2 linked regions of the Cricetulus griseus genome follow. The protein of the gene in region 2 binds, or shares a complex with, the protein of the main gene of each other region. Links are inferred from orthologs where the notes say so. Each region holds a gene or a part of one and is shown on either strand. Other genes may lie near its edges. The genes, in order: Sf1 and Prpf40a.

Region 1 (8,414 bases), on a different chromosome or scaffold from region 2:
TGGCAGCTTTCAAGCCAGGACCTCAGCAGGAGCAGGGACTGCAGAGGGGGTTGTTACGGACTAAACTGGAATAGAGAGTTGACAGCAGGGACTGTAGATACTATGTTTATGGCTTTGTTTTGGTCTACAATGGAGGGGGTCAAACCCAAGGCCTTACATTAGGCACATACTCTGCCACCCAGATTCATCCTCAGCCCCAGAAACTATGTTTATACTATAAACAGAAAAATGTCCAAAATGATCAATTTATTATTCTGAAGCTGAAGGAGATGGCTCAGTGGGTAAAAGCACTTCTATGGGGAGATGGAAGGTGAAGACAGGAGAATCAGCTTGAGGGCAAACGCGAATGGAATACTCAACGCAGCATCAGAAATGAGAGAGATGTCGATGTGGAAGGGGAACTAACTCCTGACACTGTCCTCTCACCTCCACACAAGCCCCGTGGCATGAATGTGCCTGCATTCGCATACAACACACACACACACACACACACACACACACATTTGTGAAAAAAGTTGGTTATTGGGATGGTTAGTTTTGCCAACTTGATACAATCTACAATGTTTGGCACTGGTCTTAATGGGACTGTAGATCAAGTTGGCCTGTGGGCATGTCTTAAATTAGGAAGATTCAGGGCACTATGAGTGGCACTATCCCCTAGACAGGGAGTCTTGGGGTGGAAGAGGCATTTTTTTCTCTGCTTTTGACTATGAATATAACTACCTTCTTCAAGTTCCTGCCTCAGTTTCCCTTAAAGGATAGACTGTAACCTGTAATTGTAAGCCAACTAAGCCCTTTTTCCCGTAAAGTTACTTTTGCCAGGGCATTATTACAGCAATGGGAATGAAACGAGGATGCAATTCCGGGTTAAGGACCGAGAGGGGTGGAGACTGTAGTGCATGCTTCCCCTCCTAATCCTTTCCCTGTTTTTAAAATGTTTGTAGGCGCACACCTTGAGTCCAGGACATCCAGGGCTACATAACACAGTGAAACCCTGTTTCAAAAAAAAAAGGTATTTCAAGTCTTCTATCCTCCACTAATGCTTTTAAGACAAGCATGCTGGAGCAGGTTACTTCTCACTCTGTTATGTGTGGGGGTGTGGGTGTCATGTTCATTCTTAAACACATTTCATGTATTTCTCATATACTTCTTCACACATTAGTTCATCCAGCTCTGAAGGGTCAATCAGTGTCATCTTGATGGGCCAGCTACCTTTGTGGATTTGTTGGCGAGCCCCAGGTTTTCTGCACCTACTTTATGGATTTCACTTACCTCTTCTGAGAGGAGAGTTCACTAGCAGCCTTCACATTCTCTAGAGCACCACACTCTTCCCACAGCACAGTGGGTCTGGTGTGCAGCACTGCCCCTTGATGGGCAGGAAGCCATGGTGGTGTGCAGGCTACAGGCCATGGCCCCCATGCTCCTTGCCACTCCCAGGGCCATGATCAGGGCTCCAAGGGTTGCCATGGTAAGCCTCCACCACCACTTACTTTTCTATTGCTACGAAGAGACACCATGACTAAGGCATGTTATAGAAGGAAGAATTATTGGGGGCTTCCAGTTCAGAGGTTAAGTCTCTGACCATCATGACAGGGACCATGGCAGCAGGCATGGTGCTGTAGTAGTAGCTGAAAACTTACACTGTATTAGCCAAGTACAAGGCAGAGAGAGACAGAGAGAAAAACGGGGGTGGGACATTCCTATTCAAACTATTACAGCTTGCCATGGCTGGCTCCATAATAATTATTTCCAGTATGTGGGACTCAAACCCAGGTCTTTGGCCATATTAGGCCAGCATTCTACTACTAAAGTACAGCCTTAGTCCCTGTATTTAGTTTTATTTATTTTTGGTTTTTCGAGACAGGGTTTCTCTATGTAGCTTTGGAGCCTATCCTGGCACTTGCTCTGGAGACCAGGCTGGCCTCGAACTCACAGTGATCCACCTGTCACTGCCTTCTGAGTGCTGGGATTAAAGGCGTGTGCCACCAATGCCTGGCCCAGTTTTAGTTTTTAAAATTTTTGATGTGTATGGGTGTTTTGCCTGCATGTTATGTTTGTGCACCACCTGTGAGCAAGCAGTGCCTGAGGTGTTCAGAAGAGGGAGTCTCGATCCCTTGAACAGGAGAGACATGTTTGTTAGTTGATATGTGGATATCAGGTCCTCTAGAAGAGTAGCCAGCGTTCTTTACTGAGCCATCTCTCTAGCCATTCCTCTACTTAGTCTTGAAGGCTTCTGTGGGTATTACAGACATTTGGTTTTTCTTCTATTTTTGCAGTTCTAGAGGTAGAATCAAGGAAGTTGCATGTGATATGCAAAAGCTCTACCACTGATGTGTATTCTCAGGCCAGACATTTGCTCCTTCTCTGTTGCATGGCAATTTCCTCCCTAATCTGCCACGACCTGTTGACTTGTACCACACAGCATACTTGAGTTTCTTGTCTTGAGTTTCTTGTCTTGAGTTTCTTGTCTAGATTCCTAGATTACCCCACATCTTCTAAATTGTCTACGTGTTTTCAGATTTTTTCTACATCATTTTTAAAATTTTGTCTAATGTACATGGGTATTTTGTCTGCATGTAAGTCTGTGTACCACATGCATGCAGTCCCTGTGGGGCCAGAAGAGGGCTTTGGATCCCCTGGGGCTGAAGTTACAGGTGGTTGTGAACTGTCATGTGGGTGCTGGGAATTGAACCCAGTTCTTTGGAAGAGCAGCCAGTGTTCTTAACTGCTGAGCCATCTCTCCAGCCCTTCTACATCATTTATTAAACATCTTTCTCTCTACTGGGTTGAAGTAATCAGCTTTGTGATTATCCTATTCCCAATTATATTCTGTTGTGTTACTGGGTTTTCCTGCAAAAAAGTTGTTTCATTGCTCTTATGTTTACTTTATGAGAAGGCATTTCCATGGTCATATACTTTTAAGGTAACTTAGTCAAATTCCCAACACACTGATTACGATGGAAAAAACTTTTGAATTGTTTCTAAGAATGACTGTGAGCTCCTGATTTTTCTTTGCAAGAGCTAAGATTGCAGGCATATGGCACTAAGCCTGTTTTTTTTTTTTTTTTTTTTTGGCACAGATATACTCTATCCCAGGATAGGCCCCAAATCATGGCAGCTCTCCTGTCTCAACCTCTCAAATACTCAGGTGGCCACCTTGTCTTTCATCTGAGGTTATATGGTTTGTTCTATCACTTTAGGTATTAATTTCTTAGAGATCCGCCTGCCTCTGTCAACAGAGTGCTGGGATAAAAGGCGTGCACCACCAACGCCCGGCACTCGCGGTGGCAGAGGCAGGACAGCCAAGGCTACGCAGAGAAACGTCTCGAAAAACAAAACAAACAAAAATAACAAAAGGACCCAAACCAAAAATTAAGCCACAAACAAAAAACTACCCTATTCCGTAACTTTATTTTTCTAAAGAAAACAGGAAGTTCTCTACCTGCGTCGCCGACGTATCCGGTTCATTCACTCGAGCCCGCCCATTGCCCGCGGCGGTTCCTGGTTACCTCAGGCACAATGACTAACGTCACTTACAGCTTCCGCTCCCGCCCCGCTGGTGGAGGGACAGAGGCCGCCGGGCCTCACCACGCATGCGTACCTCCTGCTCCCCGCCTCCCCCGATCTTCCTTCGGGCTTCTCCTCCGGGCTTTCTCGATTCCCGAGCAACTCGTCCCCGGGGAGCGGAGTCGTTTCAGCCAATCCCGAGGCATTACGACGCCGAGGAGCGGGACTCCATCAACTCCAGCCAATGAGCTAGCCGTTCGCTCTACGTCATAGACTTTGCCCCACCTTAATCTCCGCCCCTCCGGCCTGGGCGCTCAGTCCGCGCAGTAACAAATGAGGTGCGCGCTGCGACACCTCCCAGCTCACCCGGCCCCGCCGCCATTTCGTCGCCTGGCCTAACGGTTCGGCCAATCCCGACACGTATCGAAAAGGACTAGCGCTCCACCAATCGGAGGCCGCTGCCTCCGACCTCACCTTGGGCCGGCCCAATCCAGGCCCCGGTCCCGCCGCCCTCAGACCGCCCCCGCGGCATCCTCTCTCCTCCCTCTTTGTGCGTCTGGCGCCGCCGCCGCCCGCCGCGTGAGAGGACTGGCTCCCCGCGCTCCTCGGCAGCGTAGTCGGGTCCCCTCCCCCCCCGGAAGGTTCGCGAAGGAGAAGCCGCCGCCGAGGACGAGGAACCGCTGGTGCCGGTCCCCTGGGGCGCCATGGCGACCGGAGCGAACGCCACGCCGCTGGGTAAGCTGGGCCTTTCAGGCCTTCCCCCCGCTTTCTGGGCCCAAAGGCGGCTTCGAGCCGGGCCCGCTGGCGCCTGGGCCGCTGCCACCGGTGGGATCGCTGGGGGCCCTGACGGCGGCCTTCTTGGTGGCGTCGCCGCCGCCCCCGGCCTGGAACCCTCCACTGCGGCCGCCCCCGCGCCGCCGCTCTTCCAGCGAGGGTCGCCTCCGTGCCAGGACCAGCAGCCGGGCCCGTCCGGCGGCGGCGGCGGCGGCGGTGGTGGCGGTGAGTCGGGCCGATAGAGCGCGAGGAGCGCCGCGCGGACCGGACCGGAGCGGCCGGCCGGCCGGCGGAGGGGCACGCGACCGAGGTTTCACGCGGCAAGGACGCGAGCGCGAGCGCGTGCACGGGAGGCCCGGGCGGACGCGCCCCAGGGTACGCGCGGCCTGGTTTGGGAAGCTCCGAGTGCGCATGCGCCCTCTGAGAGGAAGACGGGCGGGAGGAAGCGTCCATTGCGCAGACGCAATGAGGCGTTCAGGCTTTGTGGCGCAATTCTGAGGGCTTGAAGAGGCCACCTGTTGCCCCTTGAGCTGGTGTATACAGGAGAGTGTAAGAAAGTCCACGTAACGATGTGGTGTGAGGGGTCCCCCTTACGGTTTTAGGAACCTGAAAGGGAGACCAGTCCCGTGTCAAGAGTGTCTCTTTTTTTTTGCAATAAGGCCAGTTTGGAAGACTTGTGGTGATGCTTGGGTTCGATTTTTCTTTTTAAGGCTGTTTATCTCTTTTTGTTTTCTAGAAGGTTTTGAGTGACCATCTTTCCCCGTGCTGATTTAAAAGACTTTTCCCCTGGCCTGTAATCCTGAGAAGTAGAAAACCTTGTGTGGTAAATGTAGGGAAGAATTGGATACATCAGAGTTCTGATGACAGGTGTCCACTGGTCAGAAAAACTGAATGCTGGTCTTGCCGTGTGAGCATGGTCTTACTGAAGGATGGGACGTTTCACTTAGTGATATGTAGGAAGAGCTTTGGGTGTTGTTTTCCTTTGGAGCTAATCTGCTGCTTTGTAGATCTGATTGTCCAACTTTACTGCCGTTTAGAGCTTCCAGAATTGATGTACATCTCCTTAGAACTATTAAGAATTGGAAGCAAGGGTGCAGTGGCTCATACCTTTAATCCCAGCAGAGACAGGGAGACAGACAGAATAGGTGTGCTTCAGTAGTGTAGAGCCTTTGCCTAGCATTTGCACGACCTGGGTGTTCCCAGCACCACAAGAGAAAATTTGTTCCTTGTATTTACATTCTCTAGCAAGTTTTCCCAGGAAAAAAGAATATAAATGTGAAGTGTTCATTAACTTCTCTGACAGGACCAGATACCTTTATGTCTGCTTGTATTCCTCTCTGACCTCTGAAGCTCCTTTCTTTTTAAATTTTAGGTGGATTTCTGTTTTAGTCTTAATTGTCATGAACTGCCTGTTGGTAGTCACTCTCATGGTTCGTGTTTCCTCCTGATGGGCTCTGTCTGTCTTTAGACTTCCCAAGTAAGAAGAGGAAGAGGAGCCGGTGGAACCAAGACACAATGGAACAAAAGACAGTGATTCCAGGCATGCCCACGGTTATCCCCCCTGGACTGACTCGGGAACAAGAAAGAGCTTATATAGGTAAATACACGTTCTGCATCCAGGTGCATCTTCAAATTGTGACTGCTTATTCTGAGGACAAATCTATTGAAAGTCTGAGGTTTTAGTTTTGGGACAAGGTGTGATCAGGTGTGCTTTTTATAGCTTTGGTGTAAACTGTGATTTGCATGGCCAGTCCTGGATTTGTAACTTGTTTGGGCCTGCTCTCAGCAGCACATAGGCCTTACTAAGCAGCCCACTTCTCAGCTGCTCTTGCTCATTGATGAGGTGCATGCTTATCTGCCTCTCTGGACAGGCCCCAGTGGAGAACACTGCAGGTATTTGTAAACCAGGTGCCTTTTTTGTAACATGGCCTTTCATCATAATGTCATGGTTCCCTTTCCCTAAAATGTGGTTTTGCTTTTTTTTATAGGTTACAAAACAGTTCAAACAAAAAGTGGCTCTGAAAGTATTTACAGCTCACCCATTTTTACTGTTTTGTTGAATTTAATCCTTCCCTTCAGCATCTTGTTTGGTCTTTAGAGAGCTGTCTTAAAAATAAAAGCTCTTAGCCCGTTGGTGGTACACGCCTTTAAGCCCAGCACTCAGCAGGCAGAGACAGGAGGGTCTCTGTGAGTTCAAGGCCAGCCTGATCTACTGAGCAAGTTCCAGGACAGGCTCCAAAACTACAGAGAAACCCTGTCTCAAAAATAAATAAATAAATAAATAAATAAATAATGAAGGCTCTTGTAAAACCACGAAAAAACTCTACTGGGAAGGGTTTATTGTTTGATTTGAAATGAGGTGGTGGCAGGATTTTAAAAATTTAAGTTGAATTGAAATTAAACCTCAAAATTACTTAGAAACCAAGGTCATTCATACAAATTATATATGTCTGTCCAGCTGTCTTAAAAAGTACACTTGATAAACATTTTCAACTAACCAAATAAACATCCTCTTTGGGCAGAAACCTAGTGGGTCCATGAAGCTGTGACCTTCACAAACATAGCTTCAGGGCCAATGTGGTCTAAATCTGGAGGGTCTTCATTTCCTGGTTTTTAGATTGCTGAGAATTTTAAGGCGTTGGAATTGTCTTCTTGTCACAGTACTACTAATACTACTTTTTCTCACTGTTGCTGTTTACTCTTATCCAACTCTTAGGTGTCATTAGACCAGTGTTGGACCTTCCAACCTTATAAAATGCCCCTAATGGTATCACAGCCCAAGAACGTAGAATCTGAGAAACACTTAATACTTTACAACTCTCTTTTCCTCTGGAGGCCCAGTTAATGCACTAAGCCCTTAAAGACTATTTAATTTACATCTTTCATCAAAGTAGGTAGACTCAGAGTTAGAGGCTAGTATAAGTTCTTTGCTTCATGGGAGATAATAGCCTTTTCTGGTTTATTTCGTTCTGGGTATTCAAGTTAGATCCTATTGTAGTTTCTTTTGTCTGAAGTTCTTGAGCTTAATGTCTTACTGTAAAGCTAGAACTTGTTTGGAGTAAAGGAGTTTGGAGGGCAGCTGTGTCCCATGGCGTACACTTGTCCAGATGTCCTCAGGATCCTCTCGCTATTCAGTTTACTTTCTTTTCTTTTTTCTTTTTTTTTTTCCTTCAGAGACAGGGTTTCTTTGTGGTTTTGGAGGCTGTCCTGGAATTAGCTCTTATAGACCAGGCTGGTCTTGAACTCACAGATCCTCCTGCTTCTGCCTCCTGGGTGCTGGGACTAAAAGCGTGCGTCACCACTGCCCAGCTGATAATTCTAATTTTAAAGTATGTCTCACAGGGCTATACAACATCCCCATGCTGAAAACACTGAGTAAAAGTAAACTGAAGCTGGGCGTTGGTGGCCCACGCCTTTAGTCCCTGCACTTGGGATGCCGGTGCATCTTTTGAGGCCAGAGAGTTACAGGAAGGACAGGGCTGCAAAGAGAAACTCTGTCTTAAGAACAATTATCTGTAGTTAGGTATGCATTAATCCTAATTATAAGTAAGCTGTGCCCTTCCTACCTGCTCAGAAACCTGGGGTATGATAAAGATACAGGATAGGGCCATGATCTTTTAGCCAGGCATAGCGCACGCCTTTAATCCCAGCACTGGGGAGGAGAGGCAGGAGGATCTCTGTGAGTTCGAGGCCAGCCTAGTCTCCAGAGCCAGTGCCAGGATAGCTCCAAAGCTACACAGAGAAACCCTGTCTCAAAAAACCAAAAAAAAAAAAGATAGGCTAGGTAGTTACAAACACAACATATTGAAGAATCCACTCTGTTATCCCGCTGTGTTACATTTCCCATGAGTTACTAGAAGCTTTTAGTGAAATCCTCATCTTATGTCATTTCAATGCCACATGCATTCTCTTTGACCCTCATTTTCCATCTTTTACACACCTCCCTACATCAGTAGCTGGTCTGAAAGTAAACTAAGCCAGGTGTAGTAGTAGCACATGCCTTTTACCTAATCACTGGGGAGGCAGGGACAGGTGATCTTTGAGTTCTAGGCCAGCTTGGTCTACATAGGGAGTTACAAGACAGCTAGGGCTGTTTTTGAGACCCTGTCTCAAAACCAAAAACAAACCTGGCA
Region 2 (7,854 bases):
CTATGAATAAACAACATACCTGACACTAGTTTTAATAGCCCATGCAAGTGTGTTTTTCACTTAAAGCAATTATACAGAAGATACTCACACTCCTTCATCAGAATTGTAAAACAGCAGTGCATATTAAGAAATATACTTGACCACTTAGAATTCAAAGTTTCACCTTTTATGTCACAACAAACTAAGAATTACCTCAAGCACATGCATGAAATCTTTAAATATTCTTTTTCTTTCAGATTCTAGAGTTATGTCCTCAAATGCTGGTTCTTTTACAAATCTCTCCCGGATCTGAAAAGCAATGGTAAAAAAGTGACTATATCAACACCAAGAAAACCGTATCATCATTACTAAAAGGAATCTGACCAATAGATAAAGATGTGATAAGCCCTAAACTGCATTTCTTTTCTTTTTTTCAAAAAATTCTAGCAGGGCAGACAGGTAGACCTTTGAGTTCAAGGCCATTCTGGCCTATACAGAGTTCCAAGACACAGGTGCTATACAACAAACCCTTTCCCCGGGTGGTGGTGGTGGACTTTTAACTATTCCTAAATTCAAACAGCTGAGTTTTGACATATAGATATAGTGTGGCTTACTAATGTGTATTTACGTCCCCAAGAAACAAATTAGTGTTATTATCAACTGTGAAGCACAGTGCCCATTATGGATAATTTTCAAGTATACTTACGTCTTCCCAGACAGCATCCAGTTCTATTGGAGGAGCAGCTTGTTTCAACATACTCTTAAATGCAGACTCTTTTCTTTTCATTTTCCGAGCTTCCTCCTTTTCTCTTTCACGTTCCCGAGCTTCTGCCTTTTCTAGTAACTAACAAAAATATCATATGTAATAAGTTATGATAGTATAAACCCTGTTTCAAATAATTTATTGTTCTCAAATATAGTAGTGCATCATTTATAAATGTTTTAATTTGACCTAAAACAATAAAAGGTACAGTGAATCATCCGCATACACTTTACATAAGTTCTATTCATAGTACTTTATTCCACTCACCTACAACTGTAAGTAATTGTTAGATGAATAATAGGCTAGTTATCAGTAATAATCAAACTTACACTATTGAAAGCCAACTTGATATTTCCAGCATCCAAAGTAGTTGATCTTTTTGTTGAACTGATTATTGCCACAAAGTCTTCAAAGGTAGTATTTACTTCAACTACAAATCCTTTATCCTAAAAACCAGAAATTTTGTTATAAGTAACACATAACTCTAAGGAATAGATTGATGTTTTCAAATAGGAAAGAACATATGTCTTATTTACCTTCAGAATGTCTTTTATTATCTTCTTTTCATCATGATAACGTGCTTTAAGATCTTCAACATAAAACTTGAAAAGATCAAGTGCAGTTGATCCTAATGAAAAAACTAAAGAAGTCAAAAAGCTAGCTCTAACCAAGAGCTGCAATTACTTTTTGTTTGTAAAACAAACATAAAATAAAGCACACACCTCCCCTCCCACCCACCACCTACCACCCACCAATCCATTCCAACTACCATCTTAGGTTTGGAAAGAAAAGAATCTCACCCGGCTGACCAAGCATATTAGTGAACCTAATATCAGAACTAATAGTTGGATACAGTTCCATCCAAGAGGACATAGAATGCAGTTGTCCATGCTCATGCAATTCATCTAAAAATATCTGTAAGAAAGGAAACAAATATATTTGAAAACTCATTAGAATGATAACATAGAAATCCATATAAAGAACTGTTAGCAATATCAAAAGTTTTTCTCACAGTGTTATCCAGTATGTTTAGGTACAAAGAATATTTGCTATTTGATGGGAATAAAAATGTTTTTAGACCACAATTAATTATAAACAAAACATCAAAAGAAAGGCATCTTTTTTTTTTTTTGAGACAGGGTTTCTGTGGCTTTGGAGGCTGTCCTGGAACTAGCTCTTGTAGACCAGGTTGGTCTCTAACTCACAGAGACCCACCTTCCTCTGCCTCCCAAGTGCTGGGATTAAAGGCGTGTGCCACCATCGCCCAGCTGAAAGGGATCTTTAAACACTACAGTACCCTTCTAGCCTTCAGTTGCCTGTCCCTTAAGATAGAACACTATTTCCAGTTAAAAAAACAAAAAGTACATAAAATATTGTATATATATATATGTAGCTATATATACTAAATGACTGGAATTATCTATTCTCAAATGATGTGGCTAAAGAATAAATGTGTTTGTGCTGTAAAATATAGCTTTTGTTTTTAAATAGAATTAGATATTTCAAATTTGATTAATTAAAAACAAAAAAAATGTGGCAACTAAAGAAATGGCTTTGTGGTTAGAGGCAGTTGTAACACATGCAGAGGCCCAGGTTCTGTTCCTAACACCCATATGGTGACTCAAAATCACCGCTAACTCCAGTTCCAGGGGATCTAGACATCAGGCAAGCAGATGCTGCACACACACATGCAGGAAATACACTCATACATATAAAATAAATCTAAAATAGCCATAAAGAATAAATTACTTTTCTCAAAGTATTTAAACTCCCACATAGGTGCTTAATTATGTTACACACCTAAACTGTACTACAGCATGTTCTTTGAGAACCATATATCAACTCCTAAAAAGTATATCCTATATCTTGTTTCCACTCAGTCCTCATGCTATTTTTGTAAGCTAAACCCTTATGCTCAAGTTAAATAATGTTTGTTGCAGCCTGCTATAGTCCCTTGCCTCAAATATCTAAGAACAAAATTGAAAATATAGAAATTAAGAAGTTCAATATATATGGTCCAAAACAAAGCCTATGTAGTGAACTGGAAACAAGCATCTCAAAACTGTTTTGATACTTGTTGACGTTCAATGACTATGTTACTGAACTACACTAGAAAAAGCATTTTTCTATTACCTGAAAAGATTCCCTATTTTTACGCTGCCGCCTCCTCTCTCTCAACAAAGTCTTCTGTTTTTCTTCTTCCTCTTCCTTTTCTAAAGCCCGGATGTGTTCCTCAAAGCATATTAATGCATCTTCTTTATCCATGTCTGAAGTATTTTTCAGATTAAAAAAATTGAAATATTAACAAAGAAAGCAGTTTAATTAAAGTCTTTACAAACTTCAAATTCAGTGTTTAAAAGTGTTTGTATTTGAATTTAAACATGATCTTGTAATGACACAAGTTTTGAAAGACTTCAAATCCTAGAGAATAAAGGCAAGAGCACATGCACATGACAAAATTAACGGGCTAACAGAGCAATGTTATGCTTAATTCCAAACAGATTATTTTATTGATAAAAAATTTTATTAGTTCTGTGAGTTTTGTGTGCATTTTGCTCATATTCACCACTGACTTCTTCACAGATATACACACCACTTAGCCAGCTAACTTTGTCATCCCTACCTCCCTAAACTTATTTTAAATCCACCAAGAAGAATTTGTTGGATATACGATCTTACTCTTGAGAGTAGTTGATATATCAGGAGCTATGATTGAGAAAACTGTCTCCTTTCCAGCAGCCATCAGTTGCTAAAGCTCTACAGCTAAGAGTAAGATTTTGTGGTCAACTCCATCTCCATGCTGGGATTGGATACCAGTGAGCTATAAATAGTTGATTTATTACATATTTCAAGAATTTTCTGTTAAATGTTAACTGAGATCTCTAGAAAAGTATTTTTCTAAATCAAAATTCAATTAGAAACAACCCATTTGAAAATAAAGTATTTTTTCAGAAATAGTAATCATTTTGTAAAATTTGAGCTAGCAACTGCATAAAATAGCAATTCCTCGAATTTCATACAGAAAGTAAAGAATAACTCAAGGGGTACTACTTATCATTTTTCTTATGTAGTGATTGTTCTTACTCTGTAACTCTTCATCCTCTGCAAATGTTGGATTATCCATCAGATATTGTTGGGCTTCAGACCAAGTAGTAGAGTATGTAACATTAGCCATATTGTCAAGTATGTTTTTTAAGGCTTCCCAGTTTCTCTTTCGTAACTGCTTAGCTTGTTCCTACAACAAACATTTGAATAATGCTTTTAATATTCAAACAAGATATCTAAATTATAATTACTTAAGATTCCTTTATATTCTGATAAATGTCCAAATGTTATTATATACCAAGACCCTTCATTTTGTTACTGTTTTCCAAACCTTCAGTTTTTCATCTCTCTTTGAATTCAAAATCCAAAAAAATTATATTGTTTTGTATCCTCATTTCATAAACCTATGCCTTACCAGTATTCATTACAGATATAACTAATAATGAGGGCTACTGTGTACAGTCAGTATATAAACACAAAGGCATTCCCTGATATTCAAATTTTTAGTAATATTTTCAATACTAGATGCAAAACAATTTACTGACAAACAGGAGAAAAAATGAGTTACTCATTATATCTTTTAACACAGCTTCCAATGAACAGATATGATATATACACACTAACGGAGTTAAGCAAAGAAACTGACATTATAATTTTTACTCATTTATAATAAAGAAAATCTTATTCAGAATGTTGAAATAACAACAATTTAAAAAGTACCTTTTCTTTTTTTGAGAGGAAGAACAAAACATCTTCATAGATTTCAAGACGATCACGCTCTGATATAGCATTCCAAACCTCCATCTCCCCAAACATCTGTTCGGCTTTTCTAGTGATTATGAAATCAAGGGTTACTTGATTAATGCATCAGTACAATTTTAGACTTTTTTTTTTAAAGGCACTCAATTAACACACTCTCCATTTCAAGTTTACAAATGCATTAACTCGGAAAACTTTTATGAAAATCAATAAAATATTAACAGAAGAGCAAAGTCTCTATTTTCTCTTAGGACAATTCACATTAGGTAATGCTTTGCAATGTAAATAGCCCCTTTCCCCCAAGTCACCTTCTGCAGACTATAAAACAGTAACAGTTAATGTATTATGTCTATTCCCTAACACCTCAAGTGAGCCTATAAGTTACTGATTTTTTTGGCTATCTTATAAAACTGCCACATGCTCATTTACCCAGCTGTTTCATGACCATCCATTTTGGATGAGTTAGCAAGAAGTACGACACAAACAACAGGGGGAACATTGCCTCCATCATTAAAAATCTTACTTGTATCTGGTTGTGGAAGTCATTTTCTCATGATTTTCAAGAAAACGCTGAAAGGATTCCTTAGCTTCCTTGTATTTTGATCTTGCTTCTTCTTTTTCCTCTTTCTCGGTCTGGACTTTATAGGCATTAAAGGCCTGCTTTTTCTCACTCAGCTTTGCTAAAGCACTAAATAACAGAAAATATCAGACAAGAATAAATATAAAGGCTGGAGAATAAAATGTTACTGCTTTAGAAAAATGTTTGACGCATACATTAAGAAAATATCTAATTTACTGAAGATATACAATTATTTTAAACAGCAAATTCTAGTGTTCAGTGATTATAATTTCATTTGGAGCAAGGTGCTCAAATTGTAGGACAACCCTTTTGGATTTCTGGCTATAGAACACATAAAATACCTCTATTTAAAATAATTATATACCTATGAACAGCTGTGTATTATAAAGTTAAACTGTTGAACATAACTTTAAATGCCCTAAGATTAATGTAAAGTTAATTCTAAAGTCATTGTATTACCTGTACCGAGGATCATTAATGATCATTTTCATAGCTTGTTCCCATGAAGCATTGGAAGGTACCCGCTGAAAATTATTTAAAGGGAAAATTAAAATTTTATACAACAGAGACAATGGTTATCATAGGAAAGCAAGTTTAACACTCATTGCAAATATCAAGCACCTCCCCCTTTGCAGATTTTTTTTTACAATCTAAAACCATTTTCAATGAAGCAAATTTATGATACACACTTATTGACTAAAAAGAAAATTCACACTGAAATTGAAACAGTATTTTTTCCGCATTAGATCACCAACTAAAAGACAAGCAATAATTTAAATAAAAAATCTTATACATCAAGGCAAAAATATGATTGTGAAATAATACCTTGTTGAGTTTCCAAAAGCATTCTTCAATAAAAACACAACAAATTTACTTTGTTTTCAGTTAAAACAGTTCAAGTAATTAGTATTTTAAATAAAGGCACCAAAGCGAACATTTATTAGGAAATTATTATGTGTTACTTAAAAAGATTATAATACCTTTTCTTTCAATAATTCTTTAAATGCTTGCTTTGCCTCCTCCTTTGTATTCCAAGTATATGTTTTTTTTGCTGGTTGGCTCTCTTCCTCTTCTTTTTTAGGAGTAAAACTAGAGAGAGAGAAATTTAAACATGCTATTCATAATTTCAGGAACTAATTTCTGCTTAGGAAATCATTTAACTGATGCTGACCTAAAACTTGACAATTTTGAGAGAAATTTTCTTATATGAACCCTGAAAATAAAACTATCTGAAGACAGGAAATAAATTTACAGATATAAGGCCCTGTAAAAAGGCCAAATATAAGGGGGAAATCACACTAAGTTGATCTATAGTATCAGACTAGTCTAGAGGCTAATAAATAGCTTATTATATTTATCCAGCTGTTTCATATTAGTGATCTAATGTGTATACCTTAGTGTATACAAAAAGCTAAAAAAGATGTATAGAACAATCAAATGATTGATTAGCAAAATCCAGTTTAGTTAATTTTATAAACATTAATAGCAATCAGCTAATTCCATATATTCTTTTTGGATGATTTTATACTATGGCACGGACACCAAGTCACTGTTTAACCTCAAATAAATATTATTTGACAAGTTGTAGAACAGACTTGATAAATTCTGATTTCAAAAAGAATATAATATAGAAACAACTACTTGTTTGAGGTCCACTGAATTGAAAAAAATTTAGTTCAATGGATGGAAATGGAACAGCAATAGATACTGACATAAGAATGTAATATGTAGTAACATATATTGTTCTTATAAGTGCCTTTACATAAAACTTAATTGAAATTATTAAAAATTATAACTCATGAGTTATACTGGGACTCTTTAGGAAAAAAATCTTTCTAAAACTATGAAAAAAAAATTGGCCCTCCACATTCATACAAAAGAATTAAAATAATCATAAAACATATCTGTAACAAACAAAAACCTCTCATCACAATTTGTGAATTTGATTCTGTAACAAATTATATTGGATTAAACATTAAAAGTAATAGTAATATATACGAGGCTTGGCACAAATTACATGTAACTATCATACCAAGTTACAGAAGTTATTTTGAGCATCTCAGTATTTTGGTGTTCAATGTTAAAGCATAAAATGTAGAATGACATTCCCAAAGCTTACATCATATGATATCATCATTTGACCTTTATGGATACAGAAAAATATATCTGATACATATATATGCATATGCACACATGTACACATACACTCAGAAAATGCCTTAATATATGCATAGCTAAGGTCAGAAGAGTAAAAGAAAATGTGACCTTAACTCTTAATTGCCTCCAAATGTACCATTTTGTTTCTTTTAAAATATCTCAACATGAACACATTATATAGCTATTTGTGAAATTAATATGAGACATAGAACACTGATGGTAAGGAGTAGAGACGGAGGCAGCAAGACTAAATATTAACTAGATAATAGTGTTTGGTCAGACTATTCATCCATTTGTGCCTTTTTTGTGTATCTTGGCTCATATGGTAGAAAAAGGAAGTCTTGCAACTGTCACTGAGCTTCTTTTTGTGACTCCTCTATAAAGTGCCTTCTCTTAACTGAAGCATATTTCAAAAAAAACTGTTCATATTTTTCAATTTATTTACAACAAGCTGAAAGCCAGATACCACCAATAACCAAAAAGGGATGAAATCAAGTTTAATTCTATCCCATTTGGCAGAGCTTGTCACCTTCCAAAACACATCTGTGTTCAACAGCAATCTACAGTACTT

What was found.
Region 1: the proteins of Prpf40a (region 2) and Sf1 are in contact, whole or in part, in an NMR structure (PDB 8PXX), measured with the Homo sapiens proteins. The link is inferred for Cricetulus griseus from reciprocal best matches to the Homo sapiens genes PRPF40A and SF1. Residues at the interface, in NP_001352526.1 of Homo sapiens: His164, Ser166, Tyr172, Tyr174, Ser181, Thr182, Trp183, Tyr213, Tyr215, Ser222, Arg223, Trp224; in NP_004621.2 of Homo sapiens: Pro575, Pro576, Leu577, Pro578, Pro579, Gly580, Ala581, Pro582, Pro586, Pro587, Pro588, Pro589, Pro590.

The regions. Positions count from the first base shown.
Region 1 is NC_048596.1:52,989,623-52,998,036, reverse strand, and holds the start of Sf1 (splicing factor 1), read left to right. Parts: upstream 1-3,891; 5' UTR 3,892-4,211; coding exon 4,212-4,242; intron 4,243-5,744; exon of another isoform or gene 5,745-5,749; coding exon 5,750-5,878; intron 5,879-8,414. UniProt on the Homo sapiens protein: Necessary for the ATP-dependent first step of spliceosome assembly. Binds to the intron branch point sequence (BPS) 5'-UACUAAC-3' of the pre-mRNA. May act as transcription repressor.
Region 2 is NC_048599.1:121,220,194-121,228,047, reverse strand, and holds part of Prpf40a (pre-mRNA-processing factor 40 homolog A), read right to left. Parts: intron 6,216-7,854; coding exon 6,107-6,215; intron 5,651-6,106; coding exon 5,586-5,650; intron 5,235-5,585; coding exon 5,070-5,234; intron 4,617-5,069; coding exon 4,508-4,616; intron 3,978-4,507; coding exon 3,827-3,977; intron 3,010-3,826; coding exon 2,876-3,009; intron 1,658-2,875; coding exon 1,543-1,657; intron 1,383-1,542; coding exon 1,279-1,382; intron 1,189-1,278; coding exon 1,072-1,188; intron 824-1,071; coding exon 686-823; intron 289-685; coding exon 193-288; intron 1-192.